Linked DNA regions of Lepisosteus oculatus. The protein of the gene in region 1 interacts with the protein of each later gene in a pairwise test. Links are inferred from orthologs where the notes say so. Each region holds a gene or a part of one and is shown in the gene's direction. Other genes may lie near its edges. The genes, in order: gripap1 and rab4a.

Evidence for each region.
Region 2: the proteins of gripap1 (region 1) and rab4a interact in binary tests that used the Homo sapiens proteins (3 or more experiments, as listed by UniProt). The link is inferred for Lepisosteus oculatus from reciprocal best matches to the Homo sapiens genes GRIPAP1 and RAB4A.

The regions. Positions count from the first base shown.
Region 1 is NC_090697.1:77,018,225-77,034,220, reverse strand, and holds the start of gripap1 (GRIP1-associated protein 1), read left to right. Parts: upstream 1-7,423; 5' UTR 7,424-7,440; coding exon 7,441-7,482; intron 7,483-10,760; coding exon 10,761-10,827; intron 10,828-11,568; coding exon 11,569-11,630; intron 11,631-12,159; coding exon 12,160-12,186; intron 12,187-12,785; coding exon 12,786-12,893; intron 12,894-14,671; coding exon 14,672-14,828; intron 14,829-14,999; coding exon 15,000-15,166; intron 15,167-15,549; coding exon 15,550-15,598; intron 15,599-15,996. Other genes in the region: mon1ba (vacuolar fusion protein MON1 homolog B), read left to right, coding at 568-715, 2,578-2,811. UniProt on the Homo sapiens protein: Regulates the endosomal recycling back to the neuronal plasma membrane, possibly by connecting early and late recycling endosomal domains and promoting segregation of recycling endosomes from early endosomal membranes.
Region 2 is NC_090712.1:2,308,628-2,325,182, reverse strand, and holds the start of rab4a (ras-related protein Rab-4A), read left to right. Parts: upstream 1-8,295; 5' UTR 8,296-8,480; coding exon 8,481-8,496; intron 8,497-10,332; coding exon 10,333-10,413; intron 10,414-10,812; coding exon 10,813-10,927; intron 10,928-12,105; coding exon 12,106-12,168; intron 12,169-12,690; coding exon 12,691-12,845; intron 12,846-13,715; coding exon 13,716-13,811; intron 13,812-15,625; coding exon 15,626-15,741; 3' UTR 15,742-15,770; intron 15,771-16,555. UniProt on the Homo sapiens protein: The small GTPases Rab are key regulators of intracellular membrane trafficking, from the formation of transport vesicles to their fusion with membranes.

The DNA.
Region 1 (15,996 bases):
CAGTAATCGGCATTGGTCCTCTCTGGCAGCCATGGGTAGAATTAGGAAGAGAGAATTCAGAGGAGTGGCTTCTGGATGACAGTCCTCTGTGCACGAAGTGAGGAAACGCCCTGCCTGAGCTGTGCCAGCAGGAAATCTGAAATGTGTTCTGCTAAGAGCTGGAAGGAGGGTGACAGGCTGTAGGTGACCATTTGGCTCATTTGGTAGCAAAGAGCTGATTGACTCGGCCAGCTGCATCTCGGAGGACCGCAGAGATCCACTTCCCACCATGCGGTGAGGAAGCTTGCTCCAGCACCTGGTTTCCTAAGTACACTGGAGCCGAACGTAATGCTCTGGTCTGCCTCCAGTGTTTGCTTTCTGCTCAGGCATGTTTGAGATAACATTGAAAGGTCCTTCCGGGGTTCTGAAGAGCTGATAACGTCTCGTTAGAACGTGTTTTCCTAAACTTTCTGAACCGCGAATGTTTCGGAATGCCAGGCGCACAGGCACTGCAGGAAGACGGGAGCCTGTGAGTGGCTGTAGCGCCTGGGGAGGCTGACCGCTGTGTGTGGGTGTCGTTGCTTTCAGCCCGGAGCTGGAGGCTCCCTACAGCACGGAGGAGGAGAGGCGCCGGCTGCTCGACCTGTACCGCTACCTGCACAGCCGCATGCACAGCTGCACCCGGCCGCTCAAGCTCATCTACCACGTGGCCGAGAGGGAGACGCTCCTGGCCTGGGTACGGGGCTGGGGGGTAGGGGCGGGGCTGGGGGAGGGGGGGGGTGGACAGGGGCGGGGCTGGGGGGTAGGGACAGGGCTGGGAGAGGGTGGGGGGGTGGACAAGGGCAGGGCTATGACAGGGTAGGGGCGGGGCTGGGAGAGGGTGGGGGGGTGAACAGGGGCGGGGCTATGGAAGGGTAGGGACAGGGCAGGGAGAGGGTGGGGGGTGAACAGGGATGGGCCTGGGAGAGGGTGGGGGTGTGAACAGGGGCGGGGCTATGACAGGGTAGGGGCGGGGCTGGGGGAGGGTGGGGGTGTGAGCAGGGGCGGGGCTATGACAGGGTAGGGGCGGGGCCGGGAGAGGGTGGGTTGTGAACAGGGGCGGGGCTATGACAGGGTAGGGGCGGTGCTGGGAGAGGGTGGGGTGTGAACAGGGGCGGGGCTATGACAGGGTAGGGGCGGGGCTGGGAGAGGGTGGGGGTGTGAGCAGGGGCGGGGCTATGACAGGGTAGGGGCGGGGCTGGGAGAGGGTGGGGGGGTGAACAGGGACGGGGCTGGGAGACTGGGAGAGGGTGGGGGGTGAACAGGGACGGGGCTGGGAGACTGGGAGAGGGTGGGGGGTGAACAGGGACAGGGCTGGGAGAGGGTGGGGGGGTGAACAGGGACGGGGCTGGGAGAGGGTGGGGGGTGAACAGGGGCGGAGCTATGGCAGGGTTGGGGCGGGGCTGGGAGAGGGTGGGTGTGTGTGAGCAGGGAGGGGGCTGGAGCAGGAACAGGGCTGTGTCCTGGGTGTGCTGGAAGAGAGACACAAGGTGGGGTGGGCCAAGCCTGGGCAGGGTGGGGGCGGGGCGGGGCTAGGGCAGGGCAGGGTGAGGAGCTGGTGGCAGGAACACGACCGCAGTCTTGATAACCATTCAACAGGTGATTGAGAGTGAGCAGAGGTTGCTTCCACACTGCAAAGCAGAAGGAAAAAAACAATGTTCAAATTCAGACACGAAGAAGGCTCCAGACATTGTTTCTTTGTCCTTTTTCAGTGTTGAATTGCCTGATCCTCTGCCTGCAGCCTGAACACCAATGTAGCACCCCCCCAACCACACCTCTTCGTAATAATAACTCATTAAGAGAGGCTTTTATTCACTTTGACCGAATGGGATAGGGCAGGGATCTCCAATCTAGTCTGGAAAAGGCTGCGTTCCTGCAGGTTTTCCAGGTCTCTTTAAGCCCGCAGCGCCTGCAGAGCTGAGAAGATCTGTTTAACTGCCCAGTTTACCCAATAAGTAGTTCAATCAGAGTGTTGCGCTGTGCTGGAAGGTAGACTTGCCCAGTAAAATCCTGGACTAGAAGGTGTGCATTAACACATTTTCTTGCAATCACTCTCAGCAATTTGCTCTAACTCCAGCCAGCGCGTGGGATCATGCCCATTGAAGTGCTAATATTTTGTTGCTTTCTAGACATTTTCATCCAGATTCTTATAGAGAATAGGGGGTGAACCGTGGCAGAAACAGTCACTGTTGCCGATCACTGGGTTGGTGGCAGAGCTGGAGTCTGATCCAGGAATCTCCCTGGTTGTAATCGCACGCCCATTACACAACTTGGCACAGGCCCTCAGCATCTCAGGTTTGTGTCGTTCAAAGGTCCACTAAAATCAATTGAGATGATTAGTGGTGCACAATAAATAATTCCCAGATCAGTTCAGGACACAGAATGCTTGAGTTTAAAATGCAGGGTAAAGGTGTCCCAGAAGGTTTATGTTCCAGCTGGATCCCACACCTGGACTGTTCGAGTTTCCACAGGAGCGGAGTGGGGAAGCTTTTCCTCGGAGGACACCTGCACTCTCCCCCATCAGCTGAGCTCTTCCTCTCCCTCCCTCCCTCCCTTCAGGTGACCAGTAAGTTCGAGCTGTACACCTGCTTCAGCCCCCTGGTGACCAAGGCCTCGGCCATCAACGCCATCACCAAGCTGCTGCGCTGGATCAAGAAGGAGGAGGACCGCCTCTTCATCCGCTGTCCCCCGAAGTACTCCACCACGCCCCACCCCAGCAAGGGCTCGCGGGGGGGCAAGGGGGGCTCGGACCGCCAGGACACCACTGACAACGGCTTCCTCCCCCCCCTGTAGGAGCCCCCGCCCTTCCTGGTGCGGGACAGGGGCGCCCGGGGCCGCGTGCGCTAACGTGAGGACCACACCCGCAGACTAACTCGCTGGTCTCCTGGCGGCTTGGATTGTAATGGACACCTTTCCTCTCAGACAGGTTCTTTTTTTTTTTTAATCGTCTAGGTACTGCTAGGCGACGCATTTCTTTTCTCTTGGGGGGGGGGATGGGGAGGGAAAGCAGATCTAGGGAAAGGTGTCGTTCAGAAATATCAGCCAGCGAGGATCTGGAGGGGTCTGGGAGTGTGGTCTTTGAAGGTCTGTTACAGGATGTCTCTGGGCTGGACAGGTGTGCAGACTTTGGGCAAGGTTTACACCGGGAGCTGAAGAGCTTGCTCTGGAAATCAGGAGTCTTTGAACATGAAGACCTTATCAGGCACCGTATGCAGAAGAAACTTGAGTTTTAATTTTAAAAGAGCCAGGGACGTTGGCATCTTGGTCATAAAATTGGGGAGAGATGCCTGATTGCTCTGTGAAACTCTACACTCTGAAGGAAGCTTGTTCAGGTTGTTCAGCTAGTCAGGTTTCTTTAGAGATGTGTGGAGCGAATGTTTGAAGTTATAGACCGTTGCCCTGGGAGCTGGTACTGACTCGAACCCCACACAGCGCCCGCTGGGGGCCTGGTCTCCCGTCAGCTGCTCGTCGGGGCTGGGGCTGTCCCGAGCATGTTTTCTGTGACAACAACAGAAACCTATCCCCGAGCGAGACCGAGCGTTATTTTGAATGATCGTCCTGTGATCGGGTTTTCTAGCCTTTTTCTAGAAAGGCTGACGTTTTCTAGATCAAAAATTCAAAGCGTGCGTGTGCAACCTCGATGCTGAAATAAATCCTCAGTTCCCCAGCTGTCTGCTCTGGCTGCATTCCTGTCTTCTCCGTCTCCCTGCAGTCCCTGTGCCCTTTCTCAGCCTGGTGTTTTATAGCACGGGCTTCTCGAACCCTGCCCTCGGTGCAGACAGGCCTCACGGGTCAGTGTGTCCGCTGCCCTTGTCCTTAGACTGGGCTGCAGTTTACTACACTGCAGCTGGGGTTTCCAGGACATTGCCAGTGTATTGTGACGGCCGCTGCTGGCCGGAGTCTCTCCCGGAGCGTTTGAGACTGTGCTTACCATGAACGGTGGGATTAGGATTTTGAGCAATACTCTGAAAAGTGTGAGGGTTGCCTAGTCTTGCAGTTACACACAGTTGCATCTCTTTCTAAATTTGCCTTCTATGCAATATGTTACGGTGTTCTATGTGTTTATATAAAAGAATCTGGAGGGCTCTGTGGTAGGAAACAGGATCTGAAATGTGACAGCAGATCTGACTAAAGTGAAGGGGAATTCCTTTGAAAAGGTCAGTTCCACGCTGTCGCGAGTGCAGTGTTACCATGACTTCAGATTTGCACTGGAATCAGTGCTAATTTATGCAAGAGGCAGAACTTCCAGCTTCAGTATTGAACTAATCTGTAACTTCAAACACTCCCTGCACGTCTTAATTCCTTGTATGAACCTCGGACACACTGAATAGTTTTAAAAGTTGTATATACATATATTCAAAATAGACCTATGTTGGTTCTGTTCAGATCCCCAGCTGTTAACTTCTCATTTGCTGACTCTGCTGTATGAAGGTTTGAATAGGTTCCAGAGAAAGGAAGGATACAGGTTGATATTGAACTAATGTGCTCTATGATTATGTACTGTTATGGTTACATTTGCTTTCCCGCTGCAGTGTGAATTTAGCTTTACGAACAGTTTGCTTTACAGAAGTCGGAAGGGTCAGGCAGGGAGCGGAGAAGCATTCTGAAATAGTATTCTTCGTGTTTTAATGCAGTGACTCCAAACCGTGTTGCTGGAGAACCACTGTCCCACTGGTTTTTATCCTAGTGGAGTTCTGTATGACAAGCGAATTCGATTTCAGTTTTCTGTTTGGGGACGATTTTGAAATTGGCTTTCACTTCTTCAAGTGTTGAATGGGGTTTGTCTTTGGTATCAACCTTGTCCCCAGTTTCTGAACGTCAGACTCTCCTCACTCAGGTATTTGGCCTGAAGTGTAACCAGTTAGACTCCTGTAAGAAGGAAAACAATTGCTTACTGGGAGAGTGTTACACAAGCTATTCTCAGCTGTGTCCACTCAGCATAAATTGAGCACCTAATGATAGCTGTTTAATCGGAAATAGAGGTGAGCAGGGCTGCTGATAGACCTGTGTGCAGACGTTGTCTATGAAACTATATGCCTGAAACTCAGAACTTGAGTGCAGAAACCTGGAGACTGGAAGTCTAAACCACTGAAGCAGATCGGTGAGCGCAGGTGACCTGGAGCTCCGCTGGGATGAAACTCCTCAGACACTGGGATCAGCCTGTTCCCGGCGCCGGGACCTGCTGCAGTAACACCGCTCCCGACGCGCTCCTGACGGCGCGGCACAACTGGAGCATCGCTCTCCCTGACATCACGCTGGCTGGGCAGGGGCTGGGCAGGAGCCGGCCAGTCCGCGGCGGTCCCGGCGCCACGGTGCCCGCCTGCCGGTGTCGCGGTCCGGCCGGCTGTCCCGCACGGGCGTCGGCGACGCTCGCTCCACCGGGTCGCGGCAGAGCCAAGCCGTATTTGCCCTGACCTGCAGGAGGAGCGAGAACGGGCGGGGCAGACCAGTCCAGTCCGAGCCAGATCCATCCCGAAGCACTGTTGTTAAATCCCGGCGCTCCCGCAGGGCCAGTCCGCAGCGCTTGACCCTCAGTGGTCACTGACCCCGAGGGACAGCCACGGGCTGGTGTCCAGTCCAGCTGACGCCGTCAGTCCAGATGTGGTCTCTACGCGTTTGCAGTCTCGCCTGCCCTGTTCTCTCTCAGGCTTGCTCCAGAGTTCATCTTTCTTCCCAGCTGCTCCGCGCTGTGTGCAGCCGCATGGTGATGCGTGACTCTCAGCGCCCCGAGGGGCAATTTGTTTCCTTCTTCCGCGTGCTAACAAGGGGCGACACTCTCCAGGGTCGGCCGGCGATCTGCTCTGCATAAACGTAAACGACAAGGTGTGAATTTTGCCCCCTCCCCCCCCCACACTTTTTAAATTAAAAGTGAAAGTATTTCGAAGTGTGTGTGTTTGTGTGGTATTTTTGCGATCGGCTTTGTGATTTTGCTGCGGACAGAACCTTAACGTTGCCGGTGTGCAGTGATCCTGTCTCGGCTTCACGGCGGCGGTGCGGTCGGGCTTGCGGTGGCGGTTTTTAAGGACAGATCAATGTGACAGATCCCGCCACGGGAAACGCGCCGAGTGTTGTCGCCGTCGCCCACGGCCGCTGTAAGACGGTGTGCCAGTCTCCTCACCAGTGAAGCCGCGGCTTGCGGCAAGCTTCTCATTTCCAAATTGGTGGGTCAGCTGCCACCCACTGCTGGGTGCGTTTTCTGTCGAAGTACATCGCCAACTCGTCGTGCTTCACAAACGAACTTTTGAAGTCGGGCGAGGAGACGGTTCGGATGGGCGATTATACGAAACTGCCATATAGTGCCTTTTTAAACAGATGAAACACGTCCACCCGCTGCCCCCGTGTGCCCCACTAACAATTCGATTATTGATTCGGATAATTTGATTTTATGATGACGACACACCTGAGTTGTATACGTGAGGGAAGGTTAAGTGTCTATGAATGAGAGGAACACTCGTTATACAAACGAGATTTTAACGCTGTGGCTGGTGTTTTTGGCGCCGTCCTAAACCCTTTTTGACTTCTGAGCGTCCACCTTCAATCCAAGTGACACGTCACAGCCTCGGACCCGTGACCGTAGCACCGCTACTCCTTCTCCCACAGAGCTGATGCTTTTCGTTTCTGTTATCAAAACGGACACAAGACCCAGAGGAAACAAGCGGAAGCTACGCGGCTTTGCATTTACAAATGAGAACAGGAGGCATTTTTCTTTTACACTAAGGGTGGCGGGGGCGTGGAACAAGCCCCCCAGTCATATTGTTGAAACCGACACGTCGGATTCTTCCAAGAAAGGACTGGATAACATCCCCGGCTCAATTAGCCACAAACTACTAGGCAGGCTAGTTGGGATGAATGGGCTCCTCTCGTTTTTAACCTTGATTATGTTCTGACGTATTTTAAATATTTCAATTTTAGGAATATTAAAGGTAACAAAGGAGAGCAGAGTTACACACGCTTGGCTAGTTTACAGACGATATCGAAGTTGCCCAACACTGCAGCGTTATTATTAATTTAAAATAGCAATCTTAAGAATTCGGTGTTTTTAATCAGTGCTGTGAGTACACCAGTCGGTGGGACACGTCGTTCTCTGCTGAAAATGAATAACTGCTGCTGCTCCCCCTGTCGGACAGGTGTCGTTAGTGCAGCTAATGTAAGGCTCACCATGGACTGAACTATTGTATCGGCAGGGTGGATTAGCCGTCATCCTTCTCGGATCTTTAAAGTCAGTGTATTTGACTTGGGCTTACCATCGGTTATTTGCCGTTTAGTTTTCAGCAGGCAGCGATAAAGATCCCAATCGCGTCTTTATTTTTCACACGCTCGCACACGCCTCCCTCCCTCCTCTCCCACCCCCTTCCCGGAGAAAGTATTGTGTCATTGGTATCGGCCGACCCCCCCCCCCCCTCCCCCCTTCCAGTAGTAAAGATGGCGCAGGCACTGTCAGAAGAGGAGTTCCATCGAATGCAGGTAAAATGCTTCTAATACGACAAAGTATCAAGTCGAATTGGGTCACATCGCGGTCCGGGTTGGTAATAAGAAGTAGGGCTCGCTGGGCATTCGGGTCATGAAGCTTTCGTTCGGAAAGCAGGGTCGAGAACAGTGCGGATGTTTTCGTAGGCCAAGGTTGCAGCCTCGGCGTCGAGTGGGCGATTGTGACCGAGTGTGATGGCGATGGGAGCCAGTCCACTCGGCGGGGAAGAGCCGGCAGAGAGACAGAGATGCGTGGGGAATAGGTAATGCAGAAAACAAATAAGCATATTAATCAGCCCATTGACAGGCTGGTTCACAATTCTGAATTGGGGACGTCTGAGCAGCTAGTCTTTTTGCAAACTAGCTGACATTGTTTTTTTTTTAGTGGAGCAGCACCGTCCTAGTCGTATTCTCCTTAATAAGTTGCCAGATTGTGAGTTTTGCTGGCCGGTTTCTAACACAATCCCTAAATCGGGACGGGGGGACTGTTTTTCCTGTAGTCGACCGCATCCTGTATTGAGGTCCTGAGTGATGGAGAGACCCGGGGCTCGCAGTCAGACCCCGGCGGTGGGTATCAGGTCGCCGTTCGGATGCAGAGCTCGACTCCTTGCTCTTCAGCCGCTGTGTTTATTTTGCTGTGTTGTGACATGACGTTGCGGTTTTGGCGGAGTGCGGCTGTGCCAGTTAGAGCCGGCGAAAAAACGCCGGGGGTCCTTCTGTGAGCACGTAAGCCCCCAGTCAGCTGTGACAGTTTGTAACTCTGCCAAGCCAGTGATCCGCACTTTCCTGGGTGAGTCAATAAAATCATAGCGCCTATGTGCCGCTGTTCTCGATGGCCAGCCCTGTCCAGCCCTGGATGTGGTGGATGCTAGATCCTTGCTCAGTGGCTCTTGGAGTAGGTGGGTTGTGTGGCTGTGGACTAGGTGGAAGGGATTGAGTCCGATCTTATGAGGAACCACCCCCAATATATTCTCAGACAAGGGGTCTATAAATATCGAGCGTGGAGCAGTGCCAGCTCCTGTCTGCTTCAGAGGGTTAATTCCACACTGGAAGGTAGTCCATTAACATTGTAGCACTAAACCGGAGTCCTTCCTGCTGGCTCTTGGTGTCGAGCGGTGTGTCACACAGGGCAACGAAGCCTTAATCCGCTAAACCTCAAACCTTAAACTTTGCTCGTCTGTGCTCGCCTGCTAACGAGGCCTGCCTTTGGGAGCAATGGCTACTCTTACTTCACTGCAGCTGATAATAATAAATAATAATCCTGACACATAGCGTTTTTCTGGACACTCCACTGACGGCGCTTTACAGGTAATGGGGATCCCCTCCACCCCCACCTGGATGATGCTCCAGTACTCTCCCCACACACCAGCTCGCAGTGGGGAGGAGAGCAGAGTGATGAAGCCAGTTCAGAGATGGGGGGTTGTTAGGAGGCCATGACTGGTAAAGGCCAGAGGGGAATTTGGCAGCACCCCTACTCTTTTTGAGAAACGCCCTGGAGTTTTTTATGACCACAGTGTGTCAGTTTATATGGCTCATCCGAAGGACGGATCTTTTTTTACAGTATAGTGTTCCTGTCACTATACTGGGGCAATAGCACCCACACAGACTGCAGGGTGAGCGCCCCCTACTGGCCCCACTAACACCTCTTCCAGCAGCAGCCTTAGCTTTCCTAGGAGGTCTCCCCTCCAGGTACTGGCCAGGCTCTCACCTGCTGAGCTTCAGTGTCCACAGATGCTGGAATCTATGAGTCCACAGCAAGCAATACCTTTCTAGGATTGGAGTGCATCCACAAACATTTCAACTCCAAGGGACAGGAAAGTCCCTTTGGTCCAGCAAAGAAACACTTCGAATGCACATAAGCCAGAGAAACGGGGCTGAAAACTACACAAGGATCAGCAGTGCTGGGAACCACCTGCAAGAGTTCACATCTACATGCTAAGCGAGTTAAAGATGATATTAGTATATGCCAAACCGTGCTACTGTAGATAAATCCCCAGGACTGCTCATAAAGAAGCTCGGTGAGACCGTATTCAGATATCAGCCTGTAGGTTTCTGAAGGATTTGAAACCTCCTTGCAGACATAATCAGAATTCCATAGTTATGAAGTGGTGGACAGTGAATGGGATCATTGGAATGTCTGGTATTTTTTCCAGGGAAAGTGAAAGGAGTTGGCCAGTCACATGGTTGTCACATGAGAGATTCTTGCAAGCGGGGATTGTCATACATTGCAGAAATCAGTCCTGTCTGAGCTGTAACTCTGAGGCAAATTGCAGTGTGAAGACAAACGGACTTGGGAAAGCCATTTACCTGAAGTTATTAAAAAAATAATTTACAGTCTCTCTAAATAATAACGCATTGCAAATTTGCATTAAACAGTTAAGTATGTTCACTATAAATTCAACTGTTTTATGGGAATGATGTAAATTGATGTTGACTGAGGTGACTTAACACTTAAAATTGAACCACTGCTTGAAGGCTCTTAGAGATTTGACCGTCACTGTCCTGCAAAAAGTGAAGGAAACAGATTCCCTTAGTAAGAGAGAGGAGGTAACACATCTCTTCTTCCTCGTTGTTTGAGCTTCCATTTCTTTTTTATTTTGTGTCTTATTTATGGTTCTATCCTATATGATCTGAAATTCAAAGGGGATTTTTTTTACCCGATTGCAATAGCATGGTAACAAAAGAAAAATACAACAAAAGTTCTTCCCCTCTTCATTACGGTATAAATGTTCACATTGATATTGATAATACTTTTAAAACTGTTTTTATCGGTACAGTGGCACACACATTAGCGCTGCTGTGTCATAACTCTTAGATTTTAAGTTTAATTTTAGCTGATGGTTCCTTCTGTGTGGAGTTTGCATGTTCTCCCCTGGGGCTCCAGTGGTTTGCCTCCACCTCTCGAAGACGAGCCAGTTGTGTTATACTAAAGTTCCCTTTCCACCCGGTCCAGGAGTGCAGCCCAGCCCTCGTGAAACCACTTTGCATGGAGTTGCTCTGCGCGAGCTGAACTGTCTTCTGCTGCATCTCTGTACACAAAAGTTGTTTTGTAGAACCTGAACCTGTGACCAATGATCAAAATGGTTTAAATGACTAGTAGCCCTTGATTAATGCTCTCATGTGCTCCTCTCCCCCTCTCCTCTCTCCCTCTCCTCTCTGCCCCTGACCCTCCCCCTCTCCTCTCTGCCCCTGACCCTCCCCCTCTCCTGCCCGTCTCTGCTCCGGTTGCTGTGCCTGACTGGATCCCCCACGTCCTCTCCTCTCTCCTGACCCAGGCTCAGCTCCTGGAGCTGAGGACACAGAACTACCAGCTCTCCGATGACCTGCGCAAGAACACAGCTGGTAAGAGACAATACGCGCAGCTGGGCTCTGTGGCCATACAGAGGCATCAAAAGCTTAGTTGAGCCTGAGATTTTCTGAATTCCTCTGCGTAATTGTAAGTGGCTGGTTGGGACCTGTTCTGTAGATAAGCAAGTCATCATCCTGTCAGTTTTGAGGCTGCTTCTGCAGCATGGCTCTTTTAAACGAGCCTGACTGCTGCAGGGTGCGGCAAAAGACCAGAAGCCACATCACAGCTGTTTATGTATTATTAAACCCCAGAATTGGTCAGTGGTTTCCTTCTAGTAGCTTCCGAGTTTGAAAGTGGACGCTGTGAGTCTGCTGGTTTGGTTTGGTGCTGGGGCTGTGTGCGCCAATCCTGGATAATAATGTAGCCCAGAGTTTAACCAGCGCTGTCGGTGCCTTAGGTGTTTGACAGACAGGTGTCCCTTCAAGGTCATCTCTAGCCAAGGACTGAGGTGGTCAGTCCTGGTCCCAGAGGGATGGTGTGTCTGCAGGTTTTCAGTCCAGCTCAGCTCTTAATGAGCTCGGTTAGCTCCTTACTGACTTAATTGGACCAGTTTACCAGCTTCTCCCAGCTCTTCAGATGCTGGTGCTTGGCGGAGATCTAGAAAACCTGCAGACTCACTGAACGGCCCTTGGGGGCTTTTGTGTGCATGTCTAGAGTGCTCAGCATGTGTTTCGCCGAGTCTCCTGTGGTGTGAAGTAACGGGTCCTGAAGCGCTTGTTCCTCTGGTGTTGCAGAGCTCAATGCCCTGCGCCAGAAGACCTCCACCCTCGAGAAGGATCTCCTCAAAGCTCAGAAGGTAGGACAGAGTGTTCACTGCTTTTCCAGAGTCGTGTCAGTGAGAGGGTGGAGTCTGTTCACCAGCTCTCTCTTCTTCCCAATGCTGGTACTATATCTGCTCCTGTTGTTCTCCTGTCCCAGCCACCGCTGCTTAAACCCACCACTACTACTGTTGCCATTGATACCAGTGCACATTGTCACCCAACGAAATAGTATCGGAGGACAGGGTGGAATAGACAGGCTTAGTAGTCTCTTGCTCTCATCCTCAAGATGGAAGTGCAATTAAAACTGAGAGCAGGAGGCTCCTTTTTACACAAAGGGTTGTGGGATTGTGGAACAGGCTACCCGACCATATGGTTGAAGCAAATTCTTGGATCAGTTAGATGCTAACTAGCAAATGGGCCAGATGGGCTTACTGGTCACCTAGCGTTTCTAATTGTTCATATGTGCAGAATGAGAAAGGTCTTGTGCACCTGTACATGTGAGCATATGTATAGAGATTTGTCTGTATCGAGGTTTGAATCTCATAGGTTAATTTTGTTTTGCAGGCTCTTGGCAAGAGTAAGAAAGCTCAGGTGAGTCTGTTCGTGAGTTGCAGGATGACGATTTCTGAGTCTTTCCACACGCGGCTTGGGCTGGTTTAAATAGGAAAAAATCGGGGAAAAAAATTAGCTGTTAAGCGGAATAAACCACTTAGTAAGACTTTGAGCCTTTTTATTCTCCAGTGGATGCAAAGAAGGTATCTTTATTTTGACAGCTGCACACACTAGTTAAATTAAGAACTTAATAGGTTAATTAATGAACAGTTTATCAATGTTTAGCTTAAGTCCTAGTAATTCTAATTTTAACAATTGCTAACATTTGACCTTTACAGTGTGCATTTTCCAAAACAAGGAGTGCAAAACAATTGTGCAAAGTAATTGATGTTTACACAATCTAGATAGATGAAACCTGCTCAAGACATTTTGGGTCTGATTGTGCAGGTTGGAGAACCATTTTAACAAGAGTAGAAACAAGACTTCCATAGCAGACTCGTGTATTCTTTTTAATTCAGGCGTTGACAACACAGGGGCTTTGTGTGTATTGGCAAAACAAGCTGACGAGCCAGGCTCTGTAGGAGCTCAAGTTGTCGGGGGCTGGGAATCTGACTCCTGTGTCCTGTGTCTGTGGGCAGGAAGTGGACGCCCTCCTCAGTGAGAATGAGATGCTCCAAGGCAAACTGCACAGCCAGGAGGACGACTTCAGGCTGCAGAACAGCACCCTCATGCAGGAGCTCTCCAAGGTGCTGAACTCTCCTGCAGCCCACACCTGCAGTAGCTGAAGCTGAGCTGCTCTTTCATACCCAGTAGGACAGAATTTTTTATTGCCACACAGCAAGACCTGGCGGAAATTGCTTTAGATAAAGCTAGAAAACTTGGAGAAGCAGACATATAGCACAATATTGAACTACAAATATAAATGAAAAGACAAACAAAGCACAGTCATAGTCGCTTATATGTAAGCGTTAAACTTACCGTCATGCTGATGCCTTTTGTGCTAAACAGTCCAAGTGGACATGCCCTCTAGCTGTTAATTCATTATTTAAGCTGTTTATTTCTTTCATGTCATCGCCAGCATACATACAGTGTTAGTCTTCTTTTATGCTGAAATTTTGGTTTCACCTTTGGGTTTAATTACTTTCATGTCTTTGATATTCCACTTGTTAAACCTAAGTAAACCCGCTTTTGCCCACAGGGAGTTTTAAATACATCTGTGTGTATTGTAGTACCTTCTGTTCCTCTGTCAGCGCTGCTTTTTTCATGAAAGGAAACCAGAGGCTGAAACTAGAACAAATAAACACAGCCGGCATTAAAGAGTAGGAAGCATGAGAGGTTCAGTCACGGATATCTTGTTTTCCTGAAAAGGGCATTTACGTGTATGTTTGTGCTGACTGCTTTGCTCACCATGCAGCTTGTGAAGAGGTTTTTAATCTCCCTGTCGAGAAGGCGACAAGAGAAAACATGATTTGCTTTGCGTCTGTCTGATTAAGACATATACACGCTGGTGTTTGCAACATTAACGTTCTTCCTTTGTGACTTCCTGTCAGCCCCCGCTGCCTGGGCAGTGTGTGGGCTGTTGTGTAAAAGCCCTCTCGGGGCTGGAGACGCTCAGGCACGCTCATGCTCAAGTAGCTCTGGCCAGCGAGTGGGTACACACGATCACCGTGATGCTTTCGTTTTTCATTTTTTAATGAGAACTGATAAATACGGCCAGCAAACACAGGTCCTGGAGGGGAGAAACTGAAAGACTGGAGACGACATGGATGTTAACGAAGGAGGTTTTTCAGAACAATCTTAGCCTTATTTTCATCACATAAACATAAATGTGCTGTCATCAAGCACAAACTCTATTTGCGGGGTTGAGATCAATTCAAATCCAAGGCTGTAGCTGTAGCGTTTTGTAGTCTAGGTGTTGGTGGGCCAGTAGGTGGCTCCTTTGGACTGGAATTTCCTGACCAGTGACCCAGGGTAGTGACAGGGGCAGTGTGCTGCAGGAAGGGCCATCTTTCAGAGGTTAACAGGAGGAACTGGTTACTTGGTCATTAAAGATCTGGCACTGTTCAAAAGTGTAGGGCTTAACCCCAGTGTCTTGGCTAACTTCCACTTTGGGCTTGTGCAGTTGCAGTATGTCTTCCTTAGAGTATCCTCTTGAGTCAGCTGGTGCACCTTCTCCTCCTGTCTTGCTGTGTAGTGGGGCTGCTGGTGCAGACTCACCCAGCTGTTCTTCATCACGTTTCTGTGGATCAACCTATATGTTTATGCGTAAATGCTAATTTTGAAAAGTCTTTAAATTCTTGCTTGAATTCATTTCTGTGCTTCATTACTAGCTGAAAAGGTTATTTATGCATTCAGCTTCATTTAAGTTATTGGATTTCATGATGTTGGACTAAGAAACAGAATTGACATAATGTTTACAAGTCTTGCACATCAGCAGCAGGTAAGAAAGCTGGTAATCAGGGCTCTTGTAATGCCTTCAAGCCGTGGGACTCTGAGACACTGAAGCTGATGTTGTCCCCTCCAGCTGTGCTCCCAGATCGAACAGCTGGAACAGGAGAACCAGCAGCTGAGGGAGGGGCAAGGGGTGGAGCCAGCAGCCCCAGGCTCCGCCTGTAGCCCCGTGGATGGAGAGTTACTCCGCCTCCAGGCTGAGAACTCCGCCTTGCAGAAGAAGATGGCAGGTGAGCACAGCGAAGGGGGAGCCCAAGGTTGGGGTGCACAGTTTCTGGAACCACTAGGCACGGTATAAGACAGGAAGTTTCCAGCATGCGTAGTGCAGTGGAGGGTTGGCTTCTAGCAGGCATTTCATGAATTTGCTTGCACATGTTCTGCTCTCTGCCCTCCCTCTTCAGCCCTGCTGCAGCACCGTGAGCGGGAGGAGCAGAGCCAGGCGGGGGCCGAGGTCAACGGGCTCAGGCCCGCGGCGCTGGGCTGCGTGGAGCCGGACCCGGGCCAGGCGGATGCGGGCGGTGGGGGAGCCGGCACGCCAGAGAGGGCGCCGAACGAGCGGATCGAGCAGGTGGGCCCGGGACCGGGGAGGGGTGCGGCCGTGCCGTCGTGGCCCGGCCAGCGCGTCCGGTGCAGATCCAGTTCCGCTTCGCGTTGCAGTGCGTTATCCTGAGCGCACTGTCTGTGCACAGAGCTGCACGCATTTCTCATGAGAAGTTTGTGTTTGCTGTGGAATCTTCTGATTGTGCAAATAAATCCCAACCTCTTGAACTTGAACCTCTTGAATCCTGGGAGCTGCCAGAAGAGACAAAGTATTGAAGATCTGGATATAGATGGAGCATAGAATATATATGCAGATTTAAGTATATGAGTGCTAGTATTGCTATATGAGTAATTAGTCTTGTGTACCACTTCTGTAGCTGGAAATAATGAGCTTTTCAATTCATATCGCAGGCCGAGGCAAAATGTGCCAAACTTGAACAGCGAGTGAAGGAGTTAGGAGGTGAGTCGGGGAGTTTTATTTTGTTATAAAGGGTTTTGCTCTCTGAGGGAAGTGTTTTTGTGGGCTCCAACTGCTGTAATTACAGTCGGAGAATAAAATCATCCAGTACTTCTGATAGCACCCTATTTTAGAAATGGGGATCATCCCTATTGCAGCTCTAGGGGTGCACGGTTTTGAGAGTCTCCCAACATTTAAAGGGAAGAAGCATGTTTTGCTTTTACTTTTTTCATTCTAATGGGACCAGCTACTGAAGACTAACCTGTGTAATAGTGTAATATTTTACAGAACCTTACACTTCAATTGGCAGTGTTGTCTTCCACAGAAATAGTTTTCAAGTTACATATACATGCGGTTAAAGGGTGTTTTAAATATCACTAGTGTAAAGAATTAAAGAAGAA
Region 2 (16,555 bases), on another chromosome or scaffold:
AGCACATGGGCCACTGTTCCCCCCTTGTCTTCACAAAGGGCCCCAGTGTCAGAGTCCTCCTGTCTGGTTTTCAGCGGGTTTAGTTACAGTTTGCAGCACCTCTCAGCCTGGCCCAGTGAGGTTTCCTCTATCTCTGTGTGTGTGTGTGGCGAGGGAGGGGCCCAGAGGGAGGACTGGTCATTAATTCTTTTCCTGCGAACAATGAGCCTCCGAGCAGAGCTGAGTCAGTTCGCCCGGCTGCTTTTATTCCAATTAGTTCAGCTCCCTGCTCCCTGCGTTACCAGGAGGAGAGGAGTAGTGGGATAATGAGATGCTGGGAATGCAATTTTCACTGTGGAATGTGCACCAGAGCATGTCTCTCAGGGAAAGTCTATAGCGCACACCCTCTCCCTTCCACAGACACTATGTCCTAAAAAATAATATTTTTTTTATTCTAATATAGAAGGCCGGCCCTACTCCGAATCAGATTTGCGTGTTGCTTACACAACAGTGCCTTCCTTTGCTACCCTTTGCACTGCACTGTTTCCATGATAGAGCATCAGCAAGTGAGTACTGTGAGTACAATGTTTGATTTACAAAACTGAGAATTAGTGCATATCGCTCCTCCCTCCTTCGGACTCCCAATTCATAGTCCAGTTCAGTGCCCCGGCCCAGAGAGACTCTTTCCTCAGATACCTGCCCTGGAAGAGCATCTGCTGCTTCTGCCTCTGTTAACCCCAGAACTCCAAGCAAGTTACTGGTGTCTCTGCTGTGATTGGAAACACTGTCCAACTTTGAACTCTGCTTGGCCTTGGCAGGCATTTGGCCAGCTGTGAAATTCCCTTGGGAATTCCTGTCAGATTCAGGATACACTACAGCCTCTGGATTTCAAGATCCAAGCTTACACTCCCAGCAGAGTAAAATGTTTTTTTGTAACCTAACGCAAAAGAAGCAGAACATCCTTTAACCAGGGCCTATTTCCGATATTATTATTATTATTATTATTAGTAGTAGTAGTAGTAGTAGTAGTAGTATTGTTGTTGACTATTATTATTGTTGATTACTACTACTACTATTATTATTATTATTATTATTATTATTATTATTATTATTATTAGGTGTCTCCTCTGCAAATTGTAGTGTATGCAGATCTCTTCTACCAAGCTTTAACGTCAGTTAAAGCTCAACCTAATGATATTTGGAAGGGTTTTTTTCTTATTTTATATTTCTGTTTTTCATAAGGAATGTCAAAGAGTAGCTCACACATGTTAAATAGAATTCAAGTCTTTTGATGGTGTGTTCTCTATGGTGGAAGTAATCAATAGAATATTGAAAATGGTAAGTTATTACTTGATTTATGTGGGTCCTTATTCATCATGCATTTCTCATTGGGTTTGTATCAAAAATGTATCACTTTTTATGGATACATTTCTTTTGGATTTTCAGGCACAGTGGTACAAGCAGAGTCCAAGGGAAACAACATCAAGACACTTATTTTAGAGCAGTCATGCTCAATGCTGAGCACCTCTTTTTCTTCCGCTTGCTCTAGGTCCGTATTTAATTCTTCATGGCTGAGCTGAACATTCTCTCTTTTCCAGTCAATGAGACACGCTCAAAGAGGCCATTTCTCAACTTTCAGCTTTTAGAAGGCCTATCATACTGTATAATCTATTCAAATAACATGGAACAAATCAGATTTCATATATACATCATTTACGTAATAAAAATCTGAATTAATTCAGATAAAGAGGTGACAAAGTGCCTTCCACAGGCCTGAAAGAATTGCGTCTTTTCAATGTTAACATCACTCCCATGAAAGAGTCCCACTGGGGTTCAATGGGGCCACAATATGAAACAATTGATTTGTGCATCTCGGAGCTTGACAGCTGCAGCCCTCTCATTAGTATTCTAGGGCAGGCAAGGCAGAGACACTGTTACCAAACATCAGCTCCCGGCTTCAAAGACGACCTGCACTTGCTGATATGCATTGCCAACAAGGAGCGATTCATCATCATGTCAGAGCTCTTCACAGCATTGATCAAACATTCGCCCACATCGCCCATGTCGCAAAAAAAAACAGGGCCCAGCGATCCACAAATAATTAACTCACAAGCCAACAGCCTCTTTCGTTGCAGATGGAGTCGCACTGGACTGTTGATGGACTTCTCCTAAGAGTTGGAATCTCCGTGATTAAGGCAGTAAAGCAAAATGTATTATGTTAATCCTTCACGATGCCCTGCATTGTCCCTCACGGAGGAAGGGAAGCTGCAGAAGTTGAGACTGCGCCTCCACGTTTTTTTTTGGTCTTTACAGTCAAGCTTTTGGTGTCAGACAGCAAGGAGATCGGATTAACGATCGCTGTGTTTCCCACCAAGGCAGTGAATGCTTGCAGTGACCCAGAGCAGACACGCAGAGAGATCCCAGCTTTCTTTGTGTTTAGAGAACGCTGGGGGTGATCACAAAGATGTGACGCACCCCCCTCCTGGCTGTCCACTCACCCCACTACTCTACAACCCCCTCCACCGCCTCCCAAGTTGTGTGTTTTTCAAGCTGGGGCAGAATAACAATGCAGAAGTCTGGGTACCATGGGCTCAGGGTTTTATAAGCTGAGGGTCTGGTGGGCTTTTGTGAGGGAAAAAAAAAGTGCTTGATTTGGAAATCACGAAATGAATACTCATATCTTCGATCAACAAACATTTAACACCAGCCTAACACATGGCAAGAATGAAATGTTTTGCCTACTCCTACAGTACGTTTTGTTTCTTATTATTGTCTGTGGGTTGTAAAGAAAAGTTTTCGGTGTACTTGATTTAAATAAGGAAAGGAAAGCTGTCTCATACTTATCGCTCTTCCAAGTAGTACTTATTGACATTGGACGGGCTGTATATAATACGCATACAAGTATTTACTGTAAATGCATGTGGATTGTGGATTGAATGAGCATTTTTCTTTGGTAGGAATGTCTGTTTTCCATGGCAATATAGTTAACATAGTTTGAAAAAAGGATAAAACTGTCTCTCAGTGAGGTTCAGCACATGTATTGTGTTTAACAGACTATTGTTTAAATAACATCTAAAAACAGAAAATGAAAAATACTTGCTACACCCATTTTTGCACACCAGTGTTGTTTCTGTCACCGTGCCTCCCTGACTGCTGGGTTTGACCGAGAGCGCAGATGTAGTCCCTTTTAATCAGTCATTTGTACAAAGAAAACCTTCAGCATTTCAGAACAACATCCTGGCTTCATATCGTGAGCTTCATGACATTTTTAGATCTCAAGGACAGTTCACTTCCCTTTCCTGATTCCTATTGTGTGGCATGTACTGTATGTATTCCCAGTGTGAGGGAGGTGTGCAGATTTCCAGGAACCAGAACGAAGAACTATCTGTTTTTTTCCCAAAAAATATCTGTTAACGAGGGATTTATAGTGGAAAAAAGCATTTTTAACAGAATGAATTGCAAGGAACAATTTCTAGAGATTTTTAAAAAATCATATAAACCAACTAAGGCTTTTATCGTGAATAAGTAACGAATGTATTAAAATAATTGTTTAAAATTATTTTAATTAAAAACGAAACAGAAAAAACACATCGCAAACTGACTGCCCTCATGGTCACGATAATAACTGACAAAAATCACAGATTGGAAAACCTAACTAAAGCCCAGAAAATTACTTTCCGAAATGTATATAACACACAGTTAAGAGAGTCTGAACAGAGTGACTGGCATAGTGTTTAAGAGCCAAAGTGTTGTCAATATTAACATAAAACATTAGAAACCTTGACAAAAGATTGGTGGTTTGTAATGGGAGGAAGACATTCTGTCAAGACAGGAGCCACATATATCTACGACACATTATCTGGCAATGTCCGAGATAACTTGTCAACACAGAGGTTATGTCATCGGAGGAGTCCACTCTCTATTGTGCCTCTGGAGTGAAGTTTCCTAATTCTGCTCTTATCTCTGCCCTCCAAATGAACTGGGGACAGAGAGGATTTGGAGATGGCAGTGCCCCCAAACTAAAAAAAGCTGCAAGAATTGCATAGCCTAGGCAATACAATATGTATCTCTGACCTGATTTTTCAAAGTCGGTAAGACGTTAGTACAGACATTCAAGTTAAAAACTAAAGTCCAGAGGTGTGAATTCCACCAGGGCAGACTTACGAAAAGGTTCCAAAAAGCATGCATTATATCCTTTAGAAAATGTACAAATAAAGATACATACTGTATAGGACAGGAGAGACGATCATAACTGGTTTTATTCATTATTGACACTTTTTGAAAATCAAGTCTCTTTTTTCTGGGGTTGCTGTACCATGGACAAATTCTCAATATCTGTGTCAGGTGTGGATTTTGCTTGATGCGTGCTGCACTGTGAACACAGCTCGGCAGTCTTATTTCGGTTTTGATGTTCCTGAACGATCGAAACGCACTGAACTTGTCACGTGCTTCTCCAGGATGACGAGGAAACAGCCCATTGCTGTGGTACTGCTCTCTCACGGTTTTCGGTGCAGACCTGGGCTTGGGTCATATCGCTGTATCATTATGATCGAGTTATGAACCCCGTGCAGGTCTCGGAGAGAGCCCGATGGCTTTCGAGTCTGAGAGGCGAGATGAGAGGGTAGGCGAAGGATCCACAGCTAGAAGGGTCTTCATGTCAGTGGTCAGTGGTCAGTGGTCAGTGGTCAGTGGTTTGAGGCGTGAGGCGTGAGGCGTGAGGCGTGAGGTTTGAGGTTTGAGGTTTGAGGTTTGAGGTTTGAGGATGCCACAAGCTCAGGAGGCGGATAGATTCCTAATATCGAGCGAGGACTAGGAGTGAACGGAGGGTTTAAATAGTGAAGGAAAAGGAGATTGAATCATGAGGTTCAATTAATGCCAGCTTTGCTTGTAACAGTCATGCAGCGTTCGGGAAATGAACTGACCCCCTCTTTAATATAACATCAATGATCAGTCCCCCATACATGACAAGGAATCTGATTTACACCACTCCCACCTCCAAAACAGCTGTATGTGCTGTATATGATCTGCAATTTAAAGGCTCATATACCACACCTGATTGACTATTTGTTCAAGAACAGATGGAAATGAAACAGCCTTAAAAAGCCAAGTATTAGCAATGTTGGGCATAGACGACACACTGCAACACATTGTGCCTATTTCTCAGTTAAGTCCAATATCTTTCCATCCAAGCCAAACGACTTGATAGATTTGGGTTCTGGTATGTTTGAAATGCATCCCACAGGCATACATTGTCTTAATTCCTTCTTTCTGTCTTCTTACAGCAGGTTCAGGAAAGACGCACACATACAAAGCTGTAGGGCTTCTAAGCTGTAGCAAAAATGTATGCATTTTACAGCCATCTCCAGCCCAATTACAACAAGTTAGGGCTGATTTTTCAAATCAGACTGAACAAATCACCAGTAGAAGTAATCTGTGAGCCAGACCTTCTCAAACAATCAGTACGTGCAACATCTGATGTCATTTAAAAGATGTGCTTGACCTTTGCCTCTTTTTTTTCTGAAATCTTATGTATGATGGTTGGCACTAGAAAGAAAGCCTTAATCAAAGGGGTTAACAAAGGCTGTAGTTCATTAATGTTTGCTCATTTTGCAATGTGTGTTTTTGTGCTTAAATACAGCTAAACCGCACGAAATGAGACCCACTCTCTAAACACTTTTGCTCCACAGCCCTACAGTTGCAATCTCTGAAAAAAATGTCCTGCTTTATATGCGCAGAACATTTTGTGGAAGATACTGTTTGAGAACTAAGGATTTTCAACAAAGGAATGGACATTGAAACCATTGACAAACTTAACTGACTGAATCTGACATAATTCTGGTGGTCTTTTCGACTGCATTTGTCCTTGCTGCCCAGCTTGAACAACTCCCTTCAGTGGTTTCCTTGAGCTGCATTGTGCTCAAACCGGGTGATTCATTTCAAAATGGGATGACATGAGTTCCTAAGACCTTTCACCTTAAGGTCTAGAAAACCTCTAATCTACAGTGAAACACTGGCACTGCTAAACGCTGATCCTGGGCAATTTGCACAATCTGTTTTCTATATTTCTGAGTGCTGCTAATACAAACAATGAAATCACCCTTGGAATACTGCCAGCAACTTTTACAGAGGGAGTGTAGTCCCTTCTAACATTGACCAGATCACAGGGCACATTCTGGTGTTTATTTACTTTCATTTATTTATCCTTCCTACAAACAGTTTTGTCTTGGTAAATTCCAAGTAAAGTATATATGTTTTATTTGAACTTTTTATTTGTTTTGTATTTATTTGTGCTGTTGTTACTGGTGTGTTTCTTTGCATATTTGTTCATTTATTCACTCGTGAAATGTTTTGTTTTGTAGCACGGAAATAAATACCTTGCTGTTTCCAGAACTTTCTTGTTCCAGACGTCTGAAACTGGGGGTGCTTCCCAAGCCACACTGAAAGCACCGTGACGTAATACTGCCTCCTGGTGGCCGTGTTTAGTACCACACAGGCGAAAGAGGGTTAGGACTTTCCTGGACATGAGAGTATTCAATCACGATCCCATTGGAAAGGTGAGATCAAACTGACGGCTCTACGTTTTCCAACAATTCATCTATAGAATAAAAACTATTAAAAACAGGTTTGCCTCTCTAAAAGTCACAAGATGCACCATTGGCAGACCGAACATTTGTGATGATTTTATATACGCTTTAGGTACAAGTTACGGTACTTTTAAATCACTGAAGATATTTAATTAGCAATTATTTCCAAAAGCTTTTCTAAATGTTTACTAAAGCCCTAGCACAATTCTAGCACATTCGTTAATAAATTAAAGCCCCTTCTAGGCAAAAGTAAAGTTTGGATTTGCCGAAGGGAGGAAGGCCTGAAGAGAGAAATCTGTGAGTGGGTTGGGTACAAGTATTTAAATCTTGGGAGGTTCACTGCCAACACTGAAACAGGGCCAGAGAAAACATGTTTAAAGTAAAGTAAGAAGAGGATATTTCAGACTGAAAAGAGGAGCCATGTCTTTGTGGAGGTATGGAACTAATAACCCACTCAGGCTGTTGAAACAGATTTCCTTGGCATACATCAGGAACAACTGATAGATGAGATCCACGGAATCTCTTTGTCCTCAAAACAAACATATTTATTTATGCCAGCAGCCATATCACCCTGCAGCTCAGCTCATGACAATTCACTGAAGCCCAGCAGGTGTGAGCCTGGTCAGTACCTGGATGGGAGACTCCTGGGAAAAACTAAGGTTGCTGCTGGAACAGGTGTTAGTTGGGCCAGCAGGGGGTGCTCACCCTGCGGTCTGTGGGGGTCCTAATACCCCAGTATAGTGACAGGGACACCATACTGTAAAAAGGTGCCATGCTTTGGATGAGACATAAAATCGAGGTCCTGATTCTCTATGGTCATTAAAAAAATCCCAGGGCATTTCTTGAAAAGAGTAGGGGTGTTACCTGGCATCTGGGCCAAATTTCTCCCTGGTCTTTATCCCCATCTCTGAACTGGCTTCATCACTCTGCTCTCAGCTGGTGTGTGGGGAGCGGACTGGTGCACTATGGCTGCCGTCTCATCACCCAGCTGGGGCTACAGACTGGTGGTGCTGGAGGGGAGTCCCCATTACCTGTAAAGCACTTTGAGTGGAGTGTCCAGAAAAGCGCTATATATGTGTAAGGAATTATTACTATATTTAGAAGCCCCTGTTAGATCAAAGTCTGCAACTGCAGTTTCAATGAACATGGAGTTGTGGTTGACTGTCCTGACAGGGGCACCCTAAGGAATAAATAAACCCTTGTCGTGACCTTCCCCTGAAACATCCCTCCGCCAGTCCTGTAGAATCAGGCAAAATCATGATAGGATAAGATCACTTTATTAGCCATATACAATTTCTTGCATTAGAAATTCATCTTTTCACATACCTCAGCTTTCTCTCCATGAGGCATAGACACACAGACAGGGAGAGAAGCTTGGGGTCAGAGCACAGGGTCGGCACCCCTGGAGCAGCTGGGGTTAAGGGCCTTGCTCAGGGGCCCAACAGAGTAGGATTCCTCTACCGGCCGCGGGATTTGAACTGGCAAATCCACATCCAGCCACAGGCACAGATCCTTAGGTACAGTGCCACCCATTTGAGTACTAGACATTTAAGTACTACCATCCAAACCGTTCTCAGCTCTGTAAATACACGCATTGCTTTGAGGAATGGGTTTTCACGCTCGGCGGACGCAGAGGTCGCCGGTCCGGACAGAGGTTTTGCCCGTGCGCGCACACGGACGGGACTCGGGGCCGCTCGCAGACGCCGGCGCTCACGGCTGCGGCGCACAGCTCACTGGGCAGGGGGAGGGCTTTTATTTTGAAGAGGGCTCTACAGGAAGTAAAGGGAAAGGACCGGGATTCACGGAGAGCTCCCTGCGGGAATCTCTCTCTCCTTTTCTTCATCTCTGCTCTGCTTTCCGACCCACGATTGAAACAAAAAACACACACACACACAAGAGCCCGCGTCCCAGGCAGCCATGTCCGAGACTTACGGTAGGCACCGCGGCTGGTTTCACGGTGATTAAACATGTCTTCGCCCGGTAACTTGAGAGCGGCAGGTGTCCGGGGAGAGCCGGGTCTTTCCGGGACGGACCTGCCGCGGTCGGAGCGGCGCCCAGGCGGGCCTGAGAAGCGGTTTGCTTCCCGTTTCTCTCCACCGGCCGCGGGGAGACGCGTACTGTGTGGATTGTAAAATGACCAGATCTGAGCCGCCGGGTTGAATTCGTGCTTACAGAAAAGTAAGCTCACTGGTACTCTTTGTAACGTAAATGGTGTTTAAACAAGCGTATTGTAAAGGCAGGCGGAACCCTCTTAATATCTAGCGGTGTGATCACTTGTCAAAGGCTGTTTTGGAGATGCGGATTTGAAAAACCCTTTCGCTATCTTCTCACATAATAATAGCTTTCTTTCTCCTGGCTCTTTATAAAAAAAACAGGCAAGTTCCCGTAACAAGAAGATGCGAGTCCTTTTTGCCCAGTTCCTCAAATGCATGTTAGCCATCTACGCTTCATTGTGTTTTTACAGATGAAACTATCTGGTAAATACCGTCGCAGGCGCTGTCAGGAGCCAGGTGCGTTTCGTGCGAAAGGGGGCAGGCAGAAATATAGGCATTGGAGCTGGCGATTTGACTTAGTGACCCAACATGGTCTTTTACAGCGCGTATTAACCGCGTGTCACCCTGGGGTGCCCATGCCGAGCTCAGAGCTGGAAGGTGTTGTTGCGGGAAGTACCTGGAGCTGCCAGGGAGAGGAGAGATAAGGCGCCGGCGGCCTGGACTGGAACGGACGAGACTTGTCCGCTGTAATTCATCCCAGACTGCTGTGCTGACAGATCGCTGCGTTAATTCAATTAGGAGGGCCTGTGTTAGCGTCTGCTGTCAGCATGCGAGGGGGGCTGATTTAGGACTGGAAGCGGTGCAAGAGATGTTTTTTTTCGTTCTGTGGACTGCTGTTGTGCCTGACAGGACGCAGTTCACCTTGACGCACCAGAGTCTGCGGGTGCCGGACCCAGGAGGTTTTTTGTGTCTCTTTTAAATTGCCAACAGCTGTGGGTTGTAGTGAGGGGATAATGTGGTCAGGTTAAACCAAGGGAAGAGTTCAGTACTTCTCCCGGGTGAGGAGCTGCTTAGCACTTAAGGAGAACTGGAACACCTCTGGATTTGGGATCCCTAACACTGGAGTTGGGATGCTCTGCCTTAGATTGCCCACAGCTATATCACTCTGCAACTCACATCTGGCAGCCCGCTGGAGCTCAGCAGGTGTGAGCCTGGTCAGTACCTGGATGGGAGACCTCCTGGGAAAGTTAAGGTTGCTGCTGGAAGAGATGTTAGTGGGGCCAGCAGGGGGCGCTCACTCTGTGGTCTGTGTGGGTCTTAATGCCCCAGTATAGCGAGGGGGACACTATACTGTAAAAAGTAATTGTCTTTTGGATGAGATGTAAAACCGAGGTCCTGACTCTCTGTGGTCATTAAATATTCCAGGGTGTTTCTTGAAAGTGTAGGGGTGTTACCCTGGCATCCAGGCCAAATTTCCCTCTGGCTTTACCAGTCATGGCCTCCTAGTAGTCCCCATCTCTGAACTGGCTTCATCACTCTGTTCTCCTCCCCACTGGGGAGCGTACTGGAGCACTCTGGCTCCAGGTGGGGCTGCACACTGGTGGTGGAAGAGAGTCCCCCTTACCTGTTAAGTGCTTTGAGCGGAGTGTCCAGAAAAGTGCTATATAAGTATAAGGAATTATTATTATTAGATGGATGCAGATGTAGAGGAGTTCTTTGGCTATGATCCGGTCAGGACTACTGTAACCTGGTTTGTTTCTGGTTTGTTTCCACAGACTTCCTGTTCAAGTTTCTGGTGATTGGGAATGCAGGTACAGGCAAGTCATGTCTCCTCCACCAGTTCATCGAGAGAAAATGTAAGTGCTGTCCAATTTCTGTGGAGCTTGCATGCAGTTCTTTTTATGTTGTGTTTTTTAATAAGCGTAGGTGTTTGAGAGAAGCAATTTGACAGGGATGGTCCACTGTAGCTTATTGATGCTTGATCCATCAGCCCATCTAGCTGTTTTGGAAGGATTGCAGCTGTTTTAGCTCGGAGAATGTGGCCAGGTAGCTCTGTGGTAGCTCACGTTACAGCTCATTTACAAGAAAATTCGTAATGAGGATCCTTAATTAAGTGATGAGTCTAGATGAGCAAAACTGGGCTGATGGACCTCCTCTCCTTTTGAATCTTTCTTAGGTTTTTCAAAACGTTTTCTCAAAGTATTCAATGCAGCTCTGTGTCCAGGTCTGTGAAAGTGACTATTTTTTTTGTCTAGTCAAAGAGGACTCGAATCACACCATTGGAGTGGAGTTTGGCTCGAAGATTATAAACGTGGTGAATAAATTTGTCAAGCTGCAGATCTGGGACACTGCAGGGCAAGAGCGATTCAGGTATGGTGCTAATATTTTCAGCCGATGTTCCCCGGACTTGACAAGTCACTGCTGTGTTAGTGCTCCGGTTGAAGTCTAGCCCTGGAGCATTTGGTGATCACCAAGTGCGTTTATTATTCTGATCCATGCCAAAAAGCAGCTATGTATGTTATGATCATTAAATGAGGTTTCTTCACGTTTTTATGTCTAAATAGGGATAAAGTAGTTTTCATTACAGTGTCGAGAGGTAATGTGAAGTAGTATTGCAATTTGTGCTCTGATGTCGGGTAGCAGGTAATAAGTGAGCTTTTCTTCCTTTTTCTCTGTACATCACTGTCTACATTGTCTTCCCACCCCAGAATAGCACAGTTTGTTCTATGCAGTACAGGTCTGTGCTGGATGTCCAATGCTGGTGGCATGACTGCAGCTGCACCCTCCTGCATGCTTTGTGAGCAGTGTTGTTTTAGGCTGTCCTTCAGATTCACTGAAGAGTGCAGCTTCAGAAGCTCAGGGGTATCGAAGCTTTAGTACGTTAATGTGCTTCCATTTGTGCAGAATTATGAGTGTGTCTCTATGGTTACTCGAACACCAAAACCAGATCATCTTAAATTAATTTTGTAAGGAACTGTGCAATTACGTAGTGCATAAACACTAAAGTGGGATCTGTTTAAGTCCACTGTGGCTCCCAGCTGGTGTCTGAGCATCTCTTCACAGATCTGTGACAAAAGTGACGGGACATATCTGTCTTGTCATAACTTTACGTCACAACTTCTGCATTGGATGGCTGTTGATCTTTGATGCATGAAATGTGCTTCTAGTCTTTCTCGGTTATTTTTTTTTTTTTAGAGGTTCAGCAGTTCTGCTTATTCCAGAGAAACAAATATGACTCCCAGGGAGCAGTTGTCTGACCTGTTTGAAGTTTCACAAGCTGCTGGTTCTTGTACTGTTTGCACCAGTATCAAGCTTGATACTGTCTTTGCTCTATGTGCCTGTCTAAGCAGGTTAACTGTAAGGTAACAAGCCTGAAATATCCATCACCTGTGCATGGTTTCAGTAAAAGCCTGCACTGTATGCACAGTAGCCTGAACCAGATCCAGCTGTTGATTACTGCTATAGTACACTGACCATGTGGCTGAGCAGGGGAAAACGTGGAGAATTCACTGATTCCTGGTTAACTCTTCAGTGTCATCTCCTGGCAGGTCAGTCACCAGGAGCTACTACAGAGGGGCTGCAGGGGCTCTGCTGGTCTATGACATCACCAGGTAAGAGCCTCGTACAGTAGAACCTGCTTGATGCTCAGTCACACTGCCTTGATGAAAATAATCAAATTAAAACACAGTGTCTTTTTTCCCCCTGGAACCGGTAAAGCTTTCCAATAGATCACTATAAGTTTTCTAGAAGAAACGCAGTGGAAGGTTACTTAATAACCAAAGTATACTAAAAAAACCATCACTTTTGGCTTTAAAGCCTTAAGCATTATTTTTACTTTTTGTATAGGAAAGTGAAGTGCTGTTCCTCTGCAGTGCTGATGTGAAGGAGAGCTGTTGCAAAGTGAAGACTGGAGTTTATTCTTTTGTACTCCTTTACCTCGTCGCAAGAAAAGCCCAGTAGATTTGCTGAACAGAAATAAATGTGCTCCTACGACGTTAATGTGATGTCCGGGCTTCTGTGAAGCTTAGAAGGGCATTTCGCGTTTGTAAACCGCATGGCAAATGCAGGCGTGTGTCTTGCGATGGAACGCGTCCTTGATTTAAAGCCATCTGTAATGTTCTGTTTGGACACAGCCGAGAAACCTACAACGCACTCACCAACTGGCTGACGGACGCCAGGATGCTGGCCAGCCAGAACATCGTCATCATCCTGTGTGGCAATAAGAAGGATTTGGATGCAGACAGGGAGGTGACATTCCTGGAGGCTTCAAGGTTTGCTCAAGAAAACGGTAAGTGTCCCTTGCCATTTCTGAGCCTGAATCGTGTGAAGGAACATTCTTACGGAGCCAAAGTGGGGCATTAGTTGGTGTGGTATTTATTTATTTAGCATCGAAGGAAGTGTAGTCTCTTTTTCATGCCTTGTTCTAAACCAGGTTTATAAAATCCTGTTGCCAAGCGGTTTCTCCACTTCAGGTTTTACAAGGTGCAGGCTGATGTATTGTTAAACAGTAGGTTGATATTTTGGTGATATATTGATGGTTTGGGGCTTTGATATTTCTGTAAATATTCGCATTAAACATAGAGGCTCCATGAAGTGCAATATAAAACAACTATAAATAAATAAGCCCTGCAGTGCTTCATTTACCCTGGAGTTTTTATATTGCATTTCATAAAGATCTGACGGTCTTAAAAACTAAATGCAGCCAAGAGAGTTTCCCTTCTATTTCACCAGTGCTGGTGGGCTACAGGCCTCTTGTGTCTCAGAGCCTGGGGCGTTGGGTAGCAAACCTGTCCCCACAGGAGATATATTCTGTCAATTAATGAAAGTATGGTCTGGGTTTCCTTTTGTCGCTTTAGTAACTTCTATTTTTTAATCAGCTTGGTGTTCTTTCATGATCAAGTAAAAAACGTTCCTGGAATGAGTTGTTGTGGTGTGTCAAGAGTGTAGTTCCCATGGAGTGCCACTAGAGGTCATGGTACTTTCATATTGGTTGTGGTTTTCTTTTTCCTTGCTCCTCTCTTTCCCTGCCCTCCTTTAGACTGGGCCTAAACAGCAACAGTAGTATGTTTATTGTACAAATCACCTGCCTCTTAAGCCTTAACGTCTGATATTCACTGAAAGTTAACAGTCTTACGCATTCCCACATCCTGTCTTCCAGAGCTGATGTTCCTGGAGACGAGCGCACTCACAGGGGAGAATGTGGAGGAGGCCTTTGTGCAGTGTGCCAGGAAAATCCTGAACAAGATTGAATCGGGTATCTGTTTTCTTTGTCTGCCTCAGTGAAGCTGCACAATCACAGATTTGCTTATGCAACACTTATTTATGCAGTGTTCCCTAAACCAATTCCGCCTTTCCCCTGCGCTGGTTGAGCCCGCATCTCATCAATATCGTATTAGTTCTGTTGCTTTGGGTTTTCTGTGGTGCGTGTGATGAGTGCAGTTGTCTGGAATCTAGGTTTCTAAAGGAATGACCAAGCACTGGCTAGATCTGACAAGTGGGCAGGACAGATTAGGGTTTGATGTGCTTTATGCTTTCGATTGATGAGATGATCGAGACAACGGAGGGTTTGATCTGAACCAGTGCCAGTTCTTTATGGATCACATTGAGATTTTAAAAAGTACCCCTTTCCTTGTACTTGTATATTTATTTTAGTGGGTACTGAAGGTGAGTATTTGCACTTGGTATTTAGAAATAAAAACAGCCTCCAGCACTGTGCAGAGAAAAGCAATCTGATATTACAGGGTACAGTTAAGATAAGATTTTATTGTCCCCTGAGGGAAATTTTTTATGGACACCCAGCACTCCTGTACATTTAAATAGAATGCAAAAAAAAAGAGAGAAGAAAAACATTGCACATCATTCTATTGCACATGTACAGTATAACACATAACAACATGTAACATTTATAACACATCACAAAACATATTGCACTCAAGTGGGTTGTAAGGGTCAAAATTGTGCTTATCCTTGACATTTGCGTTGACAGCTCTAATGGATAGTGGAACACAAGAATGTTTGTATTTGATTGATTTACATTTGGGAACCCTAAAACATTTGCCAGAAGGAAGAAGTTGATATTCAGAGTTGAGGATGTGGGAAGGATCTGATATAATTTTCCCAGCCTGTTTGATTATGGATTTTTCAAAGATTGTCTGCAGGGAGGGGTGCTGTTTCACTCCCATGACCTTCACAGCTGTCTGGATGAGGCGGGTCATTTGCGATTTAAAATGAACTGATAGATTGCCAAACCACACTGAAATACCATACCTGATAATGCTCTCGATTACAGCACGATAAAAGAGTAGCATTACTTCTTGTCGAACCCCAAACACTCTTAGTCTTCGCAGGAAATATAAGCGCTGCTGAACTTTGGAACAAACACTCTCCACATGAGTAGACCAGCACACGTTACTGTCTATGTGTACACCTAAGTACTTATATCAATTGACCTGAGTGATAAATTCGTTGTGGATTACTACCTGTGAGTGATCACCAACTGCTCTGGGATCGAAAACTATTTCTTTAGTTTTTTAACATTGAGAATTAGGCTTTGTTGTCACACCATTGCTCAAACCTTTGAATTTCTGACATGTATACAGCTGAGCTGCTTCCTCTATGCATTAAGCCAAGAACAGCTGTATCATCTGAGAATTTAAAAATGAAGTTGCTTTGACTACTGCTTGTTCAATCACTTGTATAAAGTGTGAACAGAACTGGAGAGCTCACACAGCCCTGAGGGGCACCTGTGCTAATAGATCGTGACTCGGAAAGAGTTTTGTTGACCCTGACATACTGTGTGCGGTTTGTTAAAAATGAATGGTACCATCTTATGATGTTATGGTTAACGGACATTTGCTTCAACTTACTTATCAATAGATGGGGCTGCAGCGTATTAAATGCAGAGTTGAAGTCCACAAACAGCATCTGAGCACAAGCATATTTAGGGATCAGAGCACCCAGCCCTGGTCCTTAAAGGGGTGCTGTCTGGATGGCTTGTGGGTTAAATGTGGAATATTGAATGACATGCCTCAGGGCATTAACTGTTCTTTATACACGCTGCTGTACCAGGGGAATTGGATCCAGAGAGAATGGGATCAGGGATTCAGTACGGAGATGCCGCTTTGAGACAGCTGAGGTCGCCCCGCAGAGCCCAGGCCCAGAGCACCCAGGAATGTGGCTGTTAGTGACAGAAAGACACCCTACTGGAAACAAGGTGAGTGTGAGCAGGAGGCCAGGAGAGTGACCCCCGTCTCGCCTGCACTTGTGTGAACCCAGAGCAGTTCACGAGCAGCGTGCCTCAATTCACATCCAGCTGTCGGTTCTCTGTGCACAAACAAAAACGGACTGATAATCCTGGAGTTGACCCCAGCATGTGTTCGGGCTGTTTGCGTGACGTGCTGAAAAGTAAAATAGTGCGATCCAAATTATTTTAAAATTGCTTTTCATTCTTGACTGTGTTTTACTTGACCTTTACATACCCAAGGAGTGAAATTAGATTCATTTGCATTGTGAATCTCTCCAGTATGTTTAGAAATTTTGGTTTAGGTCGCAGTTACCCTGTAGAATTACTTAAGTGAATTACAGTTTACCTTTTTTCGCTGACAAAATCAGAATTCCTCTGTCCAGTACAAGTATTTCTGTTGTTCCATGTAACCATCGTTTACAAATAAACCCATGAACTGAAGATCAGCGGTTTCCTTGTACAAACCACTGCTGATGTGATTAAGGCACAATGCCAAGATGAGGTCTTAATGGCAATTAGGCCTTTGTCTGGTGCAGATAAGGCCGCCTCCCAGCCCTTCTCTGTATTAGGCATTTGGGAGCTGCTGGGCCCCAGATCGTGGGAGCTCCTCCAAGATCTATCTTGGACTCCTGCTATTTCTGATCCCTCAGCCCTGTGCAAGCCACCTCCTGAATTTCCAGCTGCAGATGGAGCAGTCCCCCACTCGCCTTACCAGATGACTGCGTCTGTACAGTTCCAGTTAAGTTATGTGCCCA